Linked DNA regions of Elephas maximus indicus. The protein of the gene in region 1 binds, or shares a complex with, the protein of each later gene. Links are inferred from orthologs where the notes say so. Each region holds a gene or a part of one and is shown on either strand. Other genes may lie near its edges.

Evidence for each region.
Region 2: the proteins of PPP2R2A (region 1) and PABIR1 are in contact, whole or in part, in a cryo-EM structure (PDB 8SO0), measured with the Homo sapiens proteins. The link is inferred for Elephas maximus indicus from reciprocal best matches to the Homo sapiens genes PPP2R2A and PABIR1. Residues at the interface, in NP_002708.1 of Homo sapiens: Phe84, Leu87, Lys88, Ser89, Leu90, Tyr178, His179, Asp197, Met222, Glu223, Leu225, Thr226, Glu227, Val228, Tyr337, Asp340, Phe343; in NP_612206.5 of Homo sapiens: His81, Ser82, Ser83, Arg84, Leu85, Ile88, Lys89, Glu92, Arg99, Glu100, His103.

What each region holds. Positions count from the first base shown.
Region 1 is NC_064840.1:47,280,590-47,288,259, forward strand, and holds the start of PPP2R2A (serine/threonine-protein phosphatase 2A 55 kDa regulatory subunit B alpha isoform), read right to left. Parts: upstream 3,091-7,670; 5' UTR 2,782-3,090; coding exon 2,775-2,781; intron 948-2,774; coding exon 873-947; intron 1-872. UniProt on the Homo sapiens protein: Substrate-recognition subunit of protein phosphatase 2A (PP2A) that plays a key role in cell cycle by controlling mitosis entry and exit. Involved in chromosome clustering during late mitosis by mediating dephosphorylation of MKI67.
Region 2 is NC_064827.1:10,662,445-10,670,367, reverse strand, and holds the start of PABIR1 (PPP2R1A-PPP2R2A-interacting phosphatase regulator 1), read right to left. Parts: upstream 3,046-7,923; 5' UTR 1-3,045. UniProt on the Homo sapiens protein: Acts as an inhibitor of serine/threonine-protein phosphatase 2A (PP2A) activity. Inhibits PP2A activity by blocking the substrate binding site on PPP2R2A and the active site of PPP2CA.

The sequences.
Region 1 (7,670 bases):
GCAAGTTCAAAAAAGAAAAAAAAAAAAAAGCTAAAAATCTTTCCACAAAAATAGAAGATGCTGTCAAGAATGTTTGTGAGCTGTTGACGGCACCTATTTTAACTTAATTACCTAGAACAATATACAAAGGGGAATGCCCCGTTAAACTGTATGCGGAATTTATACAGCAAGGAAACCTTTATCGTGCGGACCTTACATTTTTCTTGTGGTTTCATATACATCATCACCTACTGTTCCTTTCCTTTAATTCAGGGAAAAAAAAAAATAACGAGGCACCAAAAAAAAAACAGAGGTCTGGTCAAGAGTTAAAACTATGTTCCATAAAGGTGACTTTTAAACCCATTCTTTAATTTCTTTCTTTTTTTTAAATAAATTGTTTTATTTTTTTGTTGTTGAGAATATACCCAGCAAAACATACACCAAGTCAACTGTTCCCATATGTACCATTTAGTGACACTGATTACATTCTGCGTTGTACAACCATTTTCACCTTTATTCTGAATTATTCTTCCCCCATTAACACAAATTCACTGCCCTGTAAGGTTCACATGTAATCTTTCAAGTTGCTGTTGTTGATTCAATTCCCATTTAGATAGTTCTTAAATTGAGCATAATGCCTAAGGTTCGGCTTTTTTACTAGTTAAGCTAAACTTTTTTACTAGTTAAACTGAACTACTGTTCAGTTTTAAGAAGACTTCAGGGGATATTTTTGATTAAGGTTCAAATATTATCTCAAGGCCCATTCTTACATTTCTTAAACAATACAAAATGTTCTTAAATTATTACAGGCTTAGCTCCAAGAAAACCTTTCAATAATCAAGATTTTGAAAACATTCTATATTCAAGTTTCACATTATTAAACACTTTCTTACCTTCTGCTACATCATCATCTACGGCTCCTTTCACCTGAGAAAAACACCACTGAATATCATTCCCTCCTCCAGCTCCTGGAAAAAACACGCACACGCAAAAAACATATCAATTAAATTGAGTTCTGTTCACATTTACTCTCGTAAACAGAGAGATGGTATCCGCAGTTGGCACGATACTAATAGCTTAGTACTGCCCACACATATAATCACCACCCTATAGCACTAATTTGGAAAAAGGTTAGTCCCCAATAGCTGGTACTGCTTTAATAAAAGAAAAAAACAGATCTTCCAGGTATGAAATATTTAAAGGCATACGCAATCATTAAATTGTACATCTGTTCAAAATTTCCCTTCCATTTTCGCTTCCCCTAAGACATGGTAAGAGCCTTACATTCAAGCAAGACCTACCAGAAAAAAGTAAATACCAAAAGTTAGAGAGTTTTACTTAAAGTATACAAAAAGCCTGCAGAAGACTTTAATAAGGTTAAACTACCATAAAACATAGAACGAAGAGAAAACTTCAGGAACATTACTGCCTGAGTGAGAAGTAATGATTCATATGAACCCGATCACCAAAGCACACACAACAAACACACACCACCCATTTCTTCGCATTTCATTACCAGCAAATCATTGGCTCCAGACAGGGAGGAAAAGAAACTGAAATGAAGGCCATTGAAGAAGTTTCAAAAGAAGCTTGTTTTGCCTCCCTTCACCTTATCCCTCTGAATCCAAAAGACCATGCAAAGGATTTATTTTGATAATTTGTCATCATAGTGCGCAAAACAATTTTAATTTCACTTTAGTATTCAACAAGCCAAAGAGCAACTTGTTTATAGCAAACTATTTGAGTCAATCCAATGTCTATCTTAAACGGTTTAATTATCTAGGTATTGGAAAAAACATGGAAATACGGAATTAGTCCCTGTTTCTATTTCACGTCGAAGTACTGAGGAGGAAATCATGAAAATTACCTGAATCTATGGAAGAAGAAACTCAATCCATATCTATAAGTGATTCTGCTAGATGGACATCCAGCAACACAATAAATGTACAGAAATAATCCTCAAAGCAATTCCCTCTCTTCCTTCACTCCCATTCCTTGCTAAATATTCCAACCTGGTTTTTCCTATACATCCTCCTTTTTCTCCCCAAGTTTTTACCTAAATCTCTCTGCTTTGCTATTTATGTCACTGAACTCCACAACTATTTTAGCAAACTCTGTGAAACCCTTTTGGGAAAAGAACATCTGCACAGGAGCTAACATGCAAAACGGAAAGTTTAAATTACATTTTTCATGCAACTTGCTGTATTAAAGGCCTTGCACTTTTTGGCCGTAACGGGTAAGACACTAAAGTGAGATGGTTTAAAACCAAAAATTCAAACTACTAGTCTCAAAAATCAACGTATCCACAACAAAAAATACACAGGTCTACTGTATTTTAACTTGAAAAGCACTCTTCCGTCCCTGTGCAAAATATATTTGTATATATACTCAAAAAGGCTTGCAGCAACAGAAAAAATAGGAATTTAAATGATGTAAGATCCGCAAAAAAGCCGGGAGGAAAAAAAAATACACCAGCCTCCAAAGCGGTGAAGACAAATCTGCATTCGCCCCCACCCCGCCCCACCCACGCCTTACCCCACGGCTTGCCGACACACACCCCACCCCCACCCACGCAAAGGTTCCAGCCCTTATTTTAAAAGACATTTTAATATCACAGCGACCACTCGCCTCACCAGAACCCACCCCACCCCCACCCCCACCGTCACCCGACCAATTCCCTGAAATCCGAGGGGCGCCCCGTGGTTCTATGCGAAGCAGAGACGGTCGCTAGGGGGTGATGGAGGGAGAAGGAAGCGGTGCCTTGTCAGTGGACGAGGGTGATTTTTTTCCTTTACCTGCCATGTTGCGCTGCAAATGGTGAGCCTGCTGGGTTCCTCGGGGTCTCTGCTTCCTGAACTCACCCCCCTCACCTGGGGATAGGGGGGTAGAGAGGGAGGATGGCGGCGGATGGCACCTGTGGGGGAGGGGGTGGGGGTCGGGAAAGAAGGAAGGAGGGGCGAGCAGATCAGCCTGCAGGATGGTGGATTTCACTCTGGGGCTTCCCCGCGTTTGCTTTTTCTCCAACAGCTACGGCTGCAGATACGGCGGCGGCGGCAGCGGTAGCGGCAGGGACAGGCGACTCCACTTTCAAAATGGCGCCGGCTGGCCTGGCCAGTGATGTCACTAGAGGGGCGGAGTCTCCTGGCTCAGCCGGAGGGGCGGGGCGGGGCGGGGCGGGGAGAGGATCGGAGAGGAGGGAGTAGGAGAAGGGAGGGGGCGGGGAGCGGCCCGGCTAGCTCCTGGCCACGCCCGCTTCCTTCCGAGCCCTCACCCCTTCCCCTCCAGCTAGGCGCCCGGGTCCTGCGCAGCCCGCTGCGTCCGCTCCGGCCTCGCCTGCCTGGCGCCCTGGCACGCTCGCTGCGCGTCTCGTTTTACTGCGGTGCTCCGGAGCCCGCTCCTGCCAGTCCCCGCCCCGGCGCGTTTGGCGTTGGCTCTTGGATCCGCGGCCCATCAGCACTCCACAGTTTCCCAAACATACGCGACTTTCGAGAAGGAATCAGTGAAACGCGCGTCAGGGCCCGGACTCGGGAGCAGGCTCAGCGGTCCCACTAACGTGGTCGCTCGCGGGGGTGCATGGGGTTCTATGGGTATTCTTTTTAGAGACTACCCGTGCTGCTATTTGAGAAAGAGAGTGGTTTAGCCCTGAGACCAACGAAATAAAGGGACGGTGGTGCAAGTCACCGCTCAACCGAGGTGAAAATTCACGGATCTGAGAAAGATAACTGGGCTGGTTCAATCTGGGTGCATTAAATTATCTTCGTATGGGTCTCGGGAACTCAGGCGAGAGTCTTTGGCGACTGAAAGCAGTAAGAGTGATTTCTAAAGAGAAAACGGAGTTTGCTGTTACCAGAATATGGCGGAAAAAGTGATCCAGGTTTGCACAGCTAAAAGAAGTAGAATTAGTGGTTAAAAGCTGGGCCCTGAAGCCGGGCTGTCTGGGTCCCAGATACTGACTCTGAGCATCAGAGGAGGGTAATTTTACCGTACAAGATTGTTTTGAAGATTAAATTACTTAATATGAGTAAACAATAAATGATAGCTGCCATTATTATTAGATTTGTATTGAAAAAATCTTCAACAGAGTTAAGAAGTAGAAGCAAAATAGTAAAACCCGGTCATCAGCCAATAGGGCCTGTGCACTGTGGTGAAACATGCCCTCGTGATCAGTTACTGTATAGTACTGTGCACTTTCGGGATCTTAATCGCCGCAATAACCCTGTGGATAGGTATCCGCATACAATGTGTCAAAAACACCTACAAAAACATCAAGAATTTCACGTTAAGTCTGAGTGAAGTGATACGGCATTCAGAGACCAAAAAGAGGAGAAATTTTAAGATACTTACACCCCGCATCTTCTTCACTTTCTACCTTATTCTTGATTTCTAAAACAATCCATTTTTGAAACAAGTTCTCAAAATTCCTCCAGATGGTACAGCTTCGCCATTGTAGTAGTATATTCCTCCATTTCTACATTAGTACTTCTCAATTTACCAACAAACGAACTGTACAAACAGGTGAGAAACTGTGCTGTATTTACTTCTATTTTGGATGATTTCATACGTGTATTTCTCTGGATATGCCTCTACCGTTAGTTTTCCTTTTCGCTTTCTCTACCCTTGTTTGTTCAATCCGAGGCTCCTCCAGGGAGAGCCTTCCATCTTAATCAGAGCTCTCGGAGCAAACCACTGGGAATAGACTATTAAACTGGGAGGCTGGCACCCCCATGGACAAGTCACTGTTCTTTTTTATGCTGCGGTTTGGCTATCTTCACACATTCTTAAAATGATTCGGTCTACATAAATGAGTTGTTCTTAGAAGTCAATAAAGCTTGCCTGGAAACTAGAATAATTATAACAAAAATTCAGATAGCACCAACCATGCTGGGCACTCTTCTGAGAACACTGTATAGAGCCTCGAGGGTGCTACACACCTATGGGACATGCTGAGATAGGTCTAATAAGGGCCAGTGTGTACCCTGGCACCCTAATAAAGGTGACCTGGAAATTGTTGGCCCTGAGCAGTCCCTGCTGGGGACCACAAACTGCCTTCCTCTCTTGTGAATGGCTTTTAGGAAGAGCCGCCAGAGTACCCATAGCCAAAGGACAAGGGTTCCTTGTCATTCTCCCCTTTCTTATCTTACATTCACTTTTCCATCCTCTGCACTAGGGCTGCTGTCCCCAACACTTCACGGAGAGGGCTTCCGCCAAGGTCATTAATGATCTTTGAGTTACTGAATCCAATAGTCACTTCTCTGTTTCTATCATTCTCTACTTTCAAACAGTATCTGAACTGTAGTCACTCCTGTCTTCTTTAGACTCTTTCTCTTGACACTTTACTGGGTTTCTCCCAACCTTTCTAGCCACCCCTTTCAGTTTCCTTTGTTGGCTCTTCCTCCCAAACCACCCTCTAAATATTAGGATGATCTGTCTTCTTGGCCTCTGTCTGTACACTCTAACTACATACTCTTTTGGAGCAACCTCATTTAGTCTTACAGATTTAAATACCATGTATATTTCATTGGAAACCGTGGTGGTGTAGTGGTTAAGTGCTAAGGCCGCTAAACGAAAGGTTGGCAGTTCAAATCCGTCAGGCACTCCTTGGAAACTCTATGGGGCAGTTCTCCTCTGTCCTATAAGGTTGCTGTGGTCGAAATTGACTTCACAGGAATGAGGTTTTTATTTATTTATTTATTAACAGGTGTATTTCATTGACTGCTCAATCTAGATCCCTAACCCTGTGCTCATCCCAGAGCTCCAGACATGCTTCTAACTGCCTGCTTGTCATTTCCACACAGAAGTCCAATGGGCCAGTCTTGATTGCATATCCCCCCCATACCTTGGCTAATGCTGTCCCTTTCCCTGGAATATCACCACCCACTCACCCCACCCCTGTCCCAACACTCCCATCCACCCATCCTTCTTTCCTTCCTTAGCCAGTAAAGCTCCTTCTGGTTCTTTAAAAACCAATTCACATGTAACTTCCTCCAGGAAGGCTTTTGTGATATTTGCTCCTATTCCCTACTCACCTTAAGTTGGGTTTAATGCCCTTTTTTAAACATTCCCATACAATCTAATGCACTTTCAAATCAAAACTACAATGAGATTCCATCTCATTCCAAAAATGCTGGCATTAATCCGAAAAACAAAATAAATGTTGGAAACGTTGTGAAGAGACTGGAACACTTGTACACTGCTGGTGGGATTGTAAAATGGTATAACCACTTTGGAAATCGATTTGGCACTTCCTTAAAAAACTAGAAATAGAACTACCATATGATCCAGCAATCCCATTCCTTGGAATATATCCTAGAGAAATAAGAGCCTTTACAGGAACAGATACATACACACCCATGTTCATTGCAGCACTGTTTACACTAGCAAAAAGATAGAAGCAGCCAAGGTGCCCATCAACAGATGAATGAATAAATAATGGTGTATTCACACAATGGAATACTATGCATTGATAAAGAACAATGATGAATCCGTGAAACATTTCATAACATGGAGGAATCTGGAAGGATTTATGCTGAGTAAAATTAATCAGTTGCAAAAAGACAGATTGTATGAGACCACTATTATAAGACCTCGAAAAATAGTTTAAACGGAGAAGAAAATATTCCTTGATGGTTAGGAGAGCGGGGAGGGAGAGAGGGAGGGGGTATTCACTAATTAGATAGTAGACAAGAACTGTTTTAGGTGAAGGGGAAGACAACACACAATACAGGAGAGGTCAGCACAACTGGACTAAACCAAAAGTAACGAAGTTTCCTGGATAAACTGAACAAAGGCTGGTGTTGCAGGGGCGTGGGTTTGGGGACCGTGGTTTCAGGGAACATCTAGGTTAATCGGCATAATAAAATCTATTAAGAAAACATTCTGCATCCCACTTTGAAGAGTGGCATCTGGGGTCTTAAATGCTAGCAAGCGGCCATCTAAGATGCGTCGATTGGTCTCAACCCACCTGGAGCAAAGGAGAATGAGGAACACCAAAGACACAAGGTAATTATGAGCCCAAGAGATAGAAAGGGCCATATAAACCAGAGTCTGCATCAGTCTGAGACCAGAAGAACTAGATGGTGCCCGGCTACAACCGATGACTGCCATGACAAGGAACACAACAGAGAACACCTGAGGGAGCAGGAGTGCAGTGGGATGCAGACCTCAAGTTCTCCTAAAAAGGCCAGACTTAATGGTCTGACTGAGACAAGAAGGACCCTGGAGGTCATGGTCCCAGAACTTCTGTTAGCCCAAGATAGGAACCATTCCCCAAACCAACTCTTCAGACAGGGTTTGGACTGGACTACAGGATAGAAAATGATACTGGTGAAGAGTGAGCTTCTTGGATCAAGTCTCATGAGACTATGTGTGCATCTCCTGTCCGGAGAGAAGATGAGGGTGCAGAGGGAATCAGAAGCTGGACATGAAAATAGAGAGTGGAGAGAAGTGTGCTGTCTCATTAGAGGAAGAGCAACTAGGAGTATGTAGCAAGGTATATATAAACTTTTGTCTGAGAGACTGACTTGATCTGAAAACTTTCACTTAAAGTACAATAAAAATTTTTAGAAAATCTAATGCACTTCTCTCTTACTAAATCACATTATGATTATTTAAATATGTGCCTGCTACTAGACTGAGTTCTTTGAGGGTTCTTTGTTTTATTCATCTCCATAGCATCATCCATATAATTTGAT
Region 2 (7,923 bases), on another chromosome or scaffold:
AGAGACACAGGAACCTCCCACCACCAAGAAAGCAGAGTCAGGATCCGTGCGCATCCTTTGGATCCAGGGTCCCTGTGCTAAAAAGCTCCCAGACCAGGGAAAGATTGATGACAGGGACCTTCCCCCAGAGCCAACAGAAAGAAAAAGCCTTCTGCTAGAGCCAGCGCCCTGAATTCAGACTTCTAGCCTGCTAAGCTGGGAGAGAATAAACTTCTGTTTATTAAAGCCATCCATTTGTGGTATTTCTGTTAAAGCAACACTAGATGATTAAGACAATAACTCATAAATTGTTTACTTAAACCGAGAATACGGTGGTGCCATTTACTGAGATGAGGAAAGCCAGGGAAGCAGCAATTTGTTGTTTGCTCTGTTGAGTTGATTCTGACTCACACCAATGTGTGCAGAGTAGAACTGTGCTCCCCAGGGTTTTCAAGGCTGTGACCTTTCGGAAGCAGATCACTACACCTGTCTTCCAAAGAGCCTCTGGGTGGGTTCAAATTGCCAACCTTTTTAGCTAGTAGTTGAGCACTTAGCCATTTGCAGCACCCAAGGACTCCTGGAAATCAAGTAAAGCCCACAAAACTCTTCATGGCATATGGGTGCAGTCCTAAAATCCTCTTCCTGGGCCCCCCCCCAGTTGCCGTCAAGTTGACTCTGACTCATGGCGACTGGATATGTGCAGAGTAGATCGGCTCCATAGGGTTTTTGAAGCTGTGACCTTTCGGAAGCAGATCCCCAGGCGTGTCTCCTGAAGGATCTCTGGGTGCGTTGGAACAGACAACCATTCGCCTAGTAGTCAAGCACTTAGGAGTGGAAATTAGGATTTCTGTTTGGTCGTGTTGCATTGGAGTGGCTTTTAGACACCTATATGGCTCCTTGAACTGAAACAGAGCTTAGAGACTTTTGTCCAACCCCAGCAGTTTTTGCAGCTAAAGGAAATAAGATGCAGAGAGGAAAATGACATATTCACCATCACACGGCTGATTAGCAGTGGGGACCAGGACTAGAGTCCAGGTCTCTTGGTTCCTAGCCCACATCTCTTTTTGCTGTGTCTCAAACAAATTTTAATTTGATGCCCTTGATGGTAAAAAAAAAAAAAAAAAAAAATGGAGCCCCGGTGGCATAGTGGTTGGCTGCTAACCAAAAGGTCGGCAGTTTGAATCCACCAGCCTTAGAAACCCTATGGGGTGGTTCTACTCTGTCCTATAGGGACACTATGAGTTGGAATTGACTCGACAGCGATGGGTTTGGTCTTTGGTTTTGATGGTAAAATAATGTCAGTTATTCATGCCTACAATTATAGAAACTGATTTAAGCTTTCCAAGTGCTAGGCACTACTATTCAAAGTGCTTCGTGAGTAGTATCTCATTTAATCCTCCCAACAACTCTACGAGGTAGGTGTTATCATTACCCCCATTTTACAAGGAAAGCTGAGACACAGAGGTTAAGCAGCGTTCCCAGAAAGTGGCAGAGAACTTGGGCTCTCTGGGCACGATGCTGCCTACTCCAAATACGGTGACCTTGCAGATTACTAACAGCTTTGTGAATGGCACTTGAAAGAGGCTTTGAAGTGAGAGATGGCATTTCATATAGAAGTGGCAGCAGAAGTAAATACAAAGGAGTGAATTTGGCCATCTTAGTCACCTAGTGCTGCTATAACAGAAATACCACAAGTGGATGGCTTTAACAAAGAGAAATTTACTCTCTCACAGTCTAGGAGGCTACAAGTCTGCATTCAGGGTTCCAGCTCCAGGGGAAGTCTTTCTCTCTTTGTTGGTTCTGGGGGAAGGTCTTTGTCATTAATCTTCCCTGGTCAAGGAGCTTCTCAGCAAAGGGACCCCGAGTCCAAAGGACACGCTATGCTCCCAGTGCTTCTTTCTTGGCGAGGTCTCTCTCCTCACCTCTCTCTTTTATACCTCAAAAGAGATTGGCTTAAGATAGAACCTAATCTTGAGTCCTGCCTCATTAACATAACTGCCACTAATCCCACCTCATTAACATCATAAAAAAAAACCCATTGCCATCGAGTAGAGGTAGGATTAAAACACATATGAAAATCACATCAAATGACAAAATGGTGGGCAATCATGCAATACTGGGAATCATGACCTAGCCAAGTTGACAGATATTTTGGGGGACACAATTCAATCCATGACATCGGCTAACACATCAAATACATGGAGAAGAATAAGTAACGGGAAAAAGTTGGAGATGGAAGTCGGAGTCAGGGAATGGAGCATTGAACACCAGGCAAAAGTGCCTGTATTTAGTCTGTGAGGCAATAGGGAGCCAAGGTAGATTTTTGACAAGAGGAATGGCATAACGAGGTCTGAGCTTCAGGATGCGGCAGGTGGATCAAGGATGCAGTGACATGGAAGAACAGAAAGGGAAAAGGACCGACGTTTTCCAAGTGCCTCCTACCTGCCAGGCACTTGAAACAATCCCTCCAGTTATTGTCTGGTCAACTCTGACTCATGGTGACCCCGTGAGTATCAGAGTCGAACTGTGCTACACTACCAGGGCTCCTTAATATCCATAATATTAATTTGCAGATTACTAAATCATTACCTAAAGAGTCCTGGTGGCGAAGTAGTTAAGAGCTCAGCTGCTACCCAAAAAGTCGGCAGTTGGAATCCACCAGCCGCTCCTTGGAAACCCTATGGGGCAGTTCTATTCTGCCCTATGGGGTCACTGTGAGTCGGAATTGACTCGAGAGCAAGGGGTTTTAATCATTACCTTACTAAGGTGGCTGGGATGTGCCAGACATTGTCTAAGTCTCGAAGAACACAATTACTGGTTGTAATTTTATTACCAATAAAACACAGTGATGAAACATCTATGCCACTTGGCTCTTGCTTGAGTACATCTATCAGAGAACTTAACTGGCTTCCCTGTTTCCACCCTGTCTTTGCAATCAGCTCTCCACCCAATCTTCAAAGCAATCCTTTAAAAAAAGTTGACTCATGTCATTTCCCTGAGCAAACGCTTCTGCTGTGGATTCCCACTTAGGAAAAAGCTGAGGTCATGATGGTGGCCTCCTGAGCCTTGTCTAAGTTGGGCTCTTGCTGTTCCTCTGACCCCGCCTCCCTCCCCTCCAGCCAAAGAGGCCCCTCACTGCTCTTCTGCCCACCAGGCATGCTCCCCTCCACATTGGTTAGTCTTCTTCCAGGTATCCACGGTGCTTAATCTAGTCAGAGGTGCCCAGGTGGTACAGTGGTTAAGCACTCGGCTGCTAACTGAAAGGCCAGCGGTTCAAACCCACCAGCCACTCAGAGGAAGAAAGATGTGGCAGTCTGCTTCTGTAAAGATTTACAGCCTCGGAAACCCTACAGGGCAGTTCTACCCTGTCCTATAGGGTCACTATGAGTAGCAATTGACTGGGCAGCAGCGGGTTTGGTTTTTGGTTTAATCCCTTCACGGCTCTGCTCCAATGTCATTGGCTGAGAGGCATCCCTGACCTTCCCTTATAAGCAGCACCAGCAGTACAAATGTAGCTTTATCCAAAAGAGGGGAGAACTATTATTTGAATATCCAGGCGATCCAGGCTTCTCTAGGCTGGCTCTAAGTCAGCCTTACTTGGGTGATTCTTTCTCTCACATGGAGGTCATAATTGTTAATTATACTGTTCATCAGCCCCTGCAGGTGGGTTACATCTGTTACATAAACTAAGAAACTGAGGCCCTGGTTTCCAGTCTTTTTCAGCCATAGGCTGAGATATACTTGATAGAATTAAAATGCCCAGCACAGAGGATGCTAATCAGTGTTTAATATATTGAGCTACTGCTTCCTCTCAAAGAAATCAAAGATAAGTGAGAGAAAATAGCAGCCATAATGTGCATTTCAGCCTGTTGCAAATGACTGATGCCAAAGGCGGATCCAGTGGACCTTTCTTGAGTCAATTCGGCCTTCCGGCTTCAGTCCGAGTATGAATTACATACCACATGCAAACACTGGGCATTCATGCTCACTCCTGAGTCACAAAACCAGACATCTACTCAATAGTCAAACTTTATTCCGATTAATATTCGCTTTTTTAAAGTTACAGACAATGTCCTTTTAATTCCTAAGGGCAATTATTCACTATGAACCTCCAAGCACGTTGTTGTTAGGTGCTGTGGCGCTGGGTTGGACTCACAGCGACCCTACATATAAAAGAATGAAACATGACCCGGTCTTGCACTGTCATCACAATAGTGGGTATGTTTGAGCCCATTGTTGCAGCCACCATGTCAATCCATTTGGTTGAGGGTCTTCCTTTTTTTCGCTGGCCCTCTACTTTACCAAGCATGGTATCTTTCTCCAGGGACTGATCCCGCCTGATAACATGTCCAAAGTAAGCAAGTCAAAGCCTCACCATCCTCACTTCTAAGGAATATCCTGGCTGTACTTCCTCCAAGACAGATTTGTTTGTTCTCCTGGCAGTCCAGGGTATATTCAGCATTCCCCAAGCATAATCCAAAACCACCAAATCCACTGTCGTTGAGTCGATTCCAGCTCATTGTGACCCTAAAGGACAGAGTAGAACTGCCCCATAGGGTTTCCAAGGAGTGCCTGGTGGATTTGAACTGCTGACCTTTTTTTGGTTAGCAGCAGTAGCTCTTAACCACTATGCCACCAGAGTTTCCCCTCAAGTGTAAGACAAGGCAAATATTCACCTACGGATACACAGTGAATGAATGTGAAATACAAATGTGTGTGTGTATGTAATCTGCGATGGACTGGCAGATACTTCAACATACAACATCAACTAGCACTGCCATCCTAGAATAAAAATGTTACAGAGGAAAATTGCACTTTGAAAGTACAGGAACTAAAGGAGTGTTAATTGGTACAGCTACTTTGGGAAAATGTAGAAGGACATCATGCTTGGTAAAGTAGAGGGTCAGTGAAGAAGAGGAACACCCTCAATGAGACAGGCTGACACAGTGGCTGCAACAATGGGCTTATGCATAACAATGACTGTGAGGATGCTGGAGGACCTGGCAGTGTTTCATTCTGTTGTACACAGGGTCACTACGAGTCGGAAATGACTAGAGGGCACCTTACAACAACACCAAAAGAAAACATATGCATGCCCTATCACTAACCAATTCTACTCCTGGTATATAACCCACACATTGCTGTTGAGTCAATTCCAACTCATAGCGACTCTACAGGACAGAGTAGAACTGCCCCATAGTTTCCAAGGAGCGCCTGGTGGATTTGAACTGATGACCTTTCAGTTGGCAGCTGTAGCACTTAACCACTACACTTCCAGGGTTTCCTCCCGGTATCTACCCAACAGAAATGAGTGCTTATGTCCATCAAAAGACATGTACGAGGACATCCCTGGTAGCATAATCAGTAATAACTAAAAACTAGAGAAAACCCGGATGCCCATAACCAGGAGAATGGTGAATAAATTATACAATGGAATTCTACACTCAGCAACATAGATGGATCACAGTATAACATTAAATGAATGAAATCAAACACAAAGGAGTACATATTCTACAACTCCATTTTCATGAAGTTCAAGAGGAGCCAAAACCAATCTATGGAAAGAGAAGTCCAAACAGTTGGTCACCCTTGGGATCACTGACTATCAGTGAGGGAGGGGTAAAAAGGAAATGACCCAAATTCTGATCTGGGTGCTGCTAGTACAGTCTACACAAATGTAAAAATTCACTGAACTGAATACTTGAGATTTATATACTATACTGTATATAAGTTAGAACTCAAAAATGTTTTTAATATAGAAAAAACAGCATGGGTACATGGAATGTAAATGGGGAAGTGTTGTTGGGGGCCATTGAGTCTATTTCAACTCACAGTGACCCCATATGACAAAGCAGAACTGTCTCATTGGGTTTCCTAGGCTGTAATCTTTATGGGAGCAAATGGCCGGATCTTTTCTCCCACTGAGCCGCTGGTTAGTTCTAACCACTAACCTTCCGGTTAGCAGCCAAGCGTTTAACTTGCCCCACCAAAACCAAAACCAAACCTGTTGCCGCCAAGTTGATTCTGACTCACAGCGACCCTATAGGACACAGTAGAACTGTCCCATTGGGTTTTCAAGGAACAGCTGGAGGATTCAAACTGCTGACTTTTTGGTTAGCAGCCGAGCTCTTAACCACTGCGCCACCAGGGCCCCTTAAATGAGAACTATAGAACAGAATAAGACGTGAAGACCTGGCAATGCATGTCAATTGGAAGTAAGTTTAAGTTCAAACACTAACCATAAGCCTAACTCTCAACTGGGATGCTGAACTCCTAAATCTGACAGAAAAGGGTCAGTGGAAGAGCAGCTAGCTGGCCTTGACAGTAGAAAGGAGAGAGAAACACACACCAACCACACACACACACACACACTCAGGCTCCATCTCATTGGGGGTCTAAATACCATGAGGCCCCAGCACCCTCACATAAACACTGGAGATGTGTGAGGCTGGTTGCCGATCACCCAGGGTACCATCAGCTCTTCTTGCCCCCGTTTCCACAGTGCCTTCGAAGTGAGTGACTTCTAAAGAGCCAGCAAGAAGGAAATGAAGCCCTTTTTACTGCCTGTGACTTTCTCAACTGCACTCTCTGTGTAGGCTGCTCAATCAAAGTTGGCTCGGTTGCCTTCACAGCGGTATCCTCCCAGCATAATTCATGAAATGGCACAGAGTCAAAGGAGTGTCAGTGGAACTCGGCAGGGGCTGTGAGAACATACGTGGAGAGCAGGGATTATGTTTAAGTACGGGACACATTTTGTTATCACGGTGGAAGAAGAGATTATCTCGTGGATGAGCTTAGAAGCTGTTATCAACCATTCTATAATTGCCCACAAACAACTACTGAGAACCTACTAAATGCAAAGGAGCCCCTGGGAAGTGCAAATGGTTAAGTGCTTGTTACGGATTGAACTGTGTTCCCCAAAATGTCTGTCAACTCGGCTAGGCCATGATTCCCAGTATTGTGTGGTTGTCCACCATTTTGTGATCTGATGTGATTATCCTATGTGCTGTAAATCCTAACGTAAAAATGGCGCGGGGGTGGTATCTGACTTCCTCCAACCCCACAAGGGGGAAGCAGAACCAAGACCAATAGCCCAAGGCTGATTCCTATGAGGCAGAGGTCGGACACACCTCCTCTCTCCGCCATCTTTACCAATTCTGACACAAACTGTCCCTCCCATGGCACTTTCTACTTCTCTGCCGGATTTGATAATTCATTGCAGTGGCCACACCAAACTCACAGGCCATGCTTACAATTATGGGGCTTATTAGGGAAGTAACAGTTTACAGTTTAGGCTCAGGAACACTCAAGGATACAGTTCCTTCATCAGGACAGCCTCTACCCAGCCATGCTCACCCTGGCCCTAGGCCTCTGCCCAAAGGCACGCAGCTTTCTTTCTTCGTGGGCCACGAAGCCCATCGAGCCACCTCCTGCTGCCGGGTCTCTCCTGACACTACTTCTCACCATCTTTAGGGTTACAGCTCTCTCTATGTCTGTTCCCTGGTCCCAGGAGCCTCCCAGCACAGGGATCCCAGGTCCAGAGGACATGCCAGCTCCTGACCATTCTTCCCTGGCAGTGGTGGGATTCTCCTCTCTGCTCTGGAACTGGCTCTTTTTTTAGGCAAAACTGACCAATCCCTTTGGTGGGTCACAAGTACCCTATCACAGAGCCCTGCCCAATCACCTGGGTGGGAGTTACAAGACTGCAGCTAGAAAGGCCACACACAAAAGTAATTAATTACACCGCACCTAACCTCTATGATGTTAATGAGGTAGGGTTAGAGGCAGTTATGTTAATGAGCCAGGACTCAATCTACAGGATTAGGTTGTATCTTGAGTCAATCCCTTTTGAGATAAAAAAGAGAGAAGTGAGCAGAGAGGATAGGGACCTCATACCACCAAGAAATGAGAGCCAGGGGCAGAGCATGTCCTTTGGATTCAGAG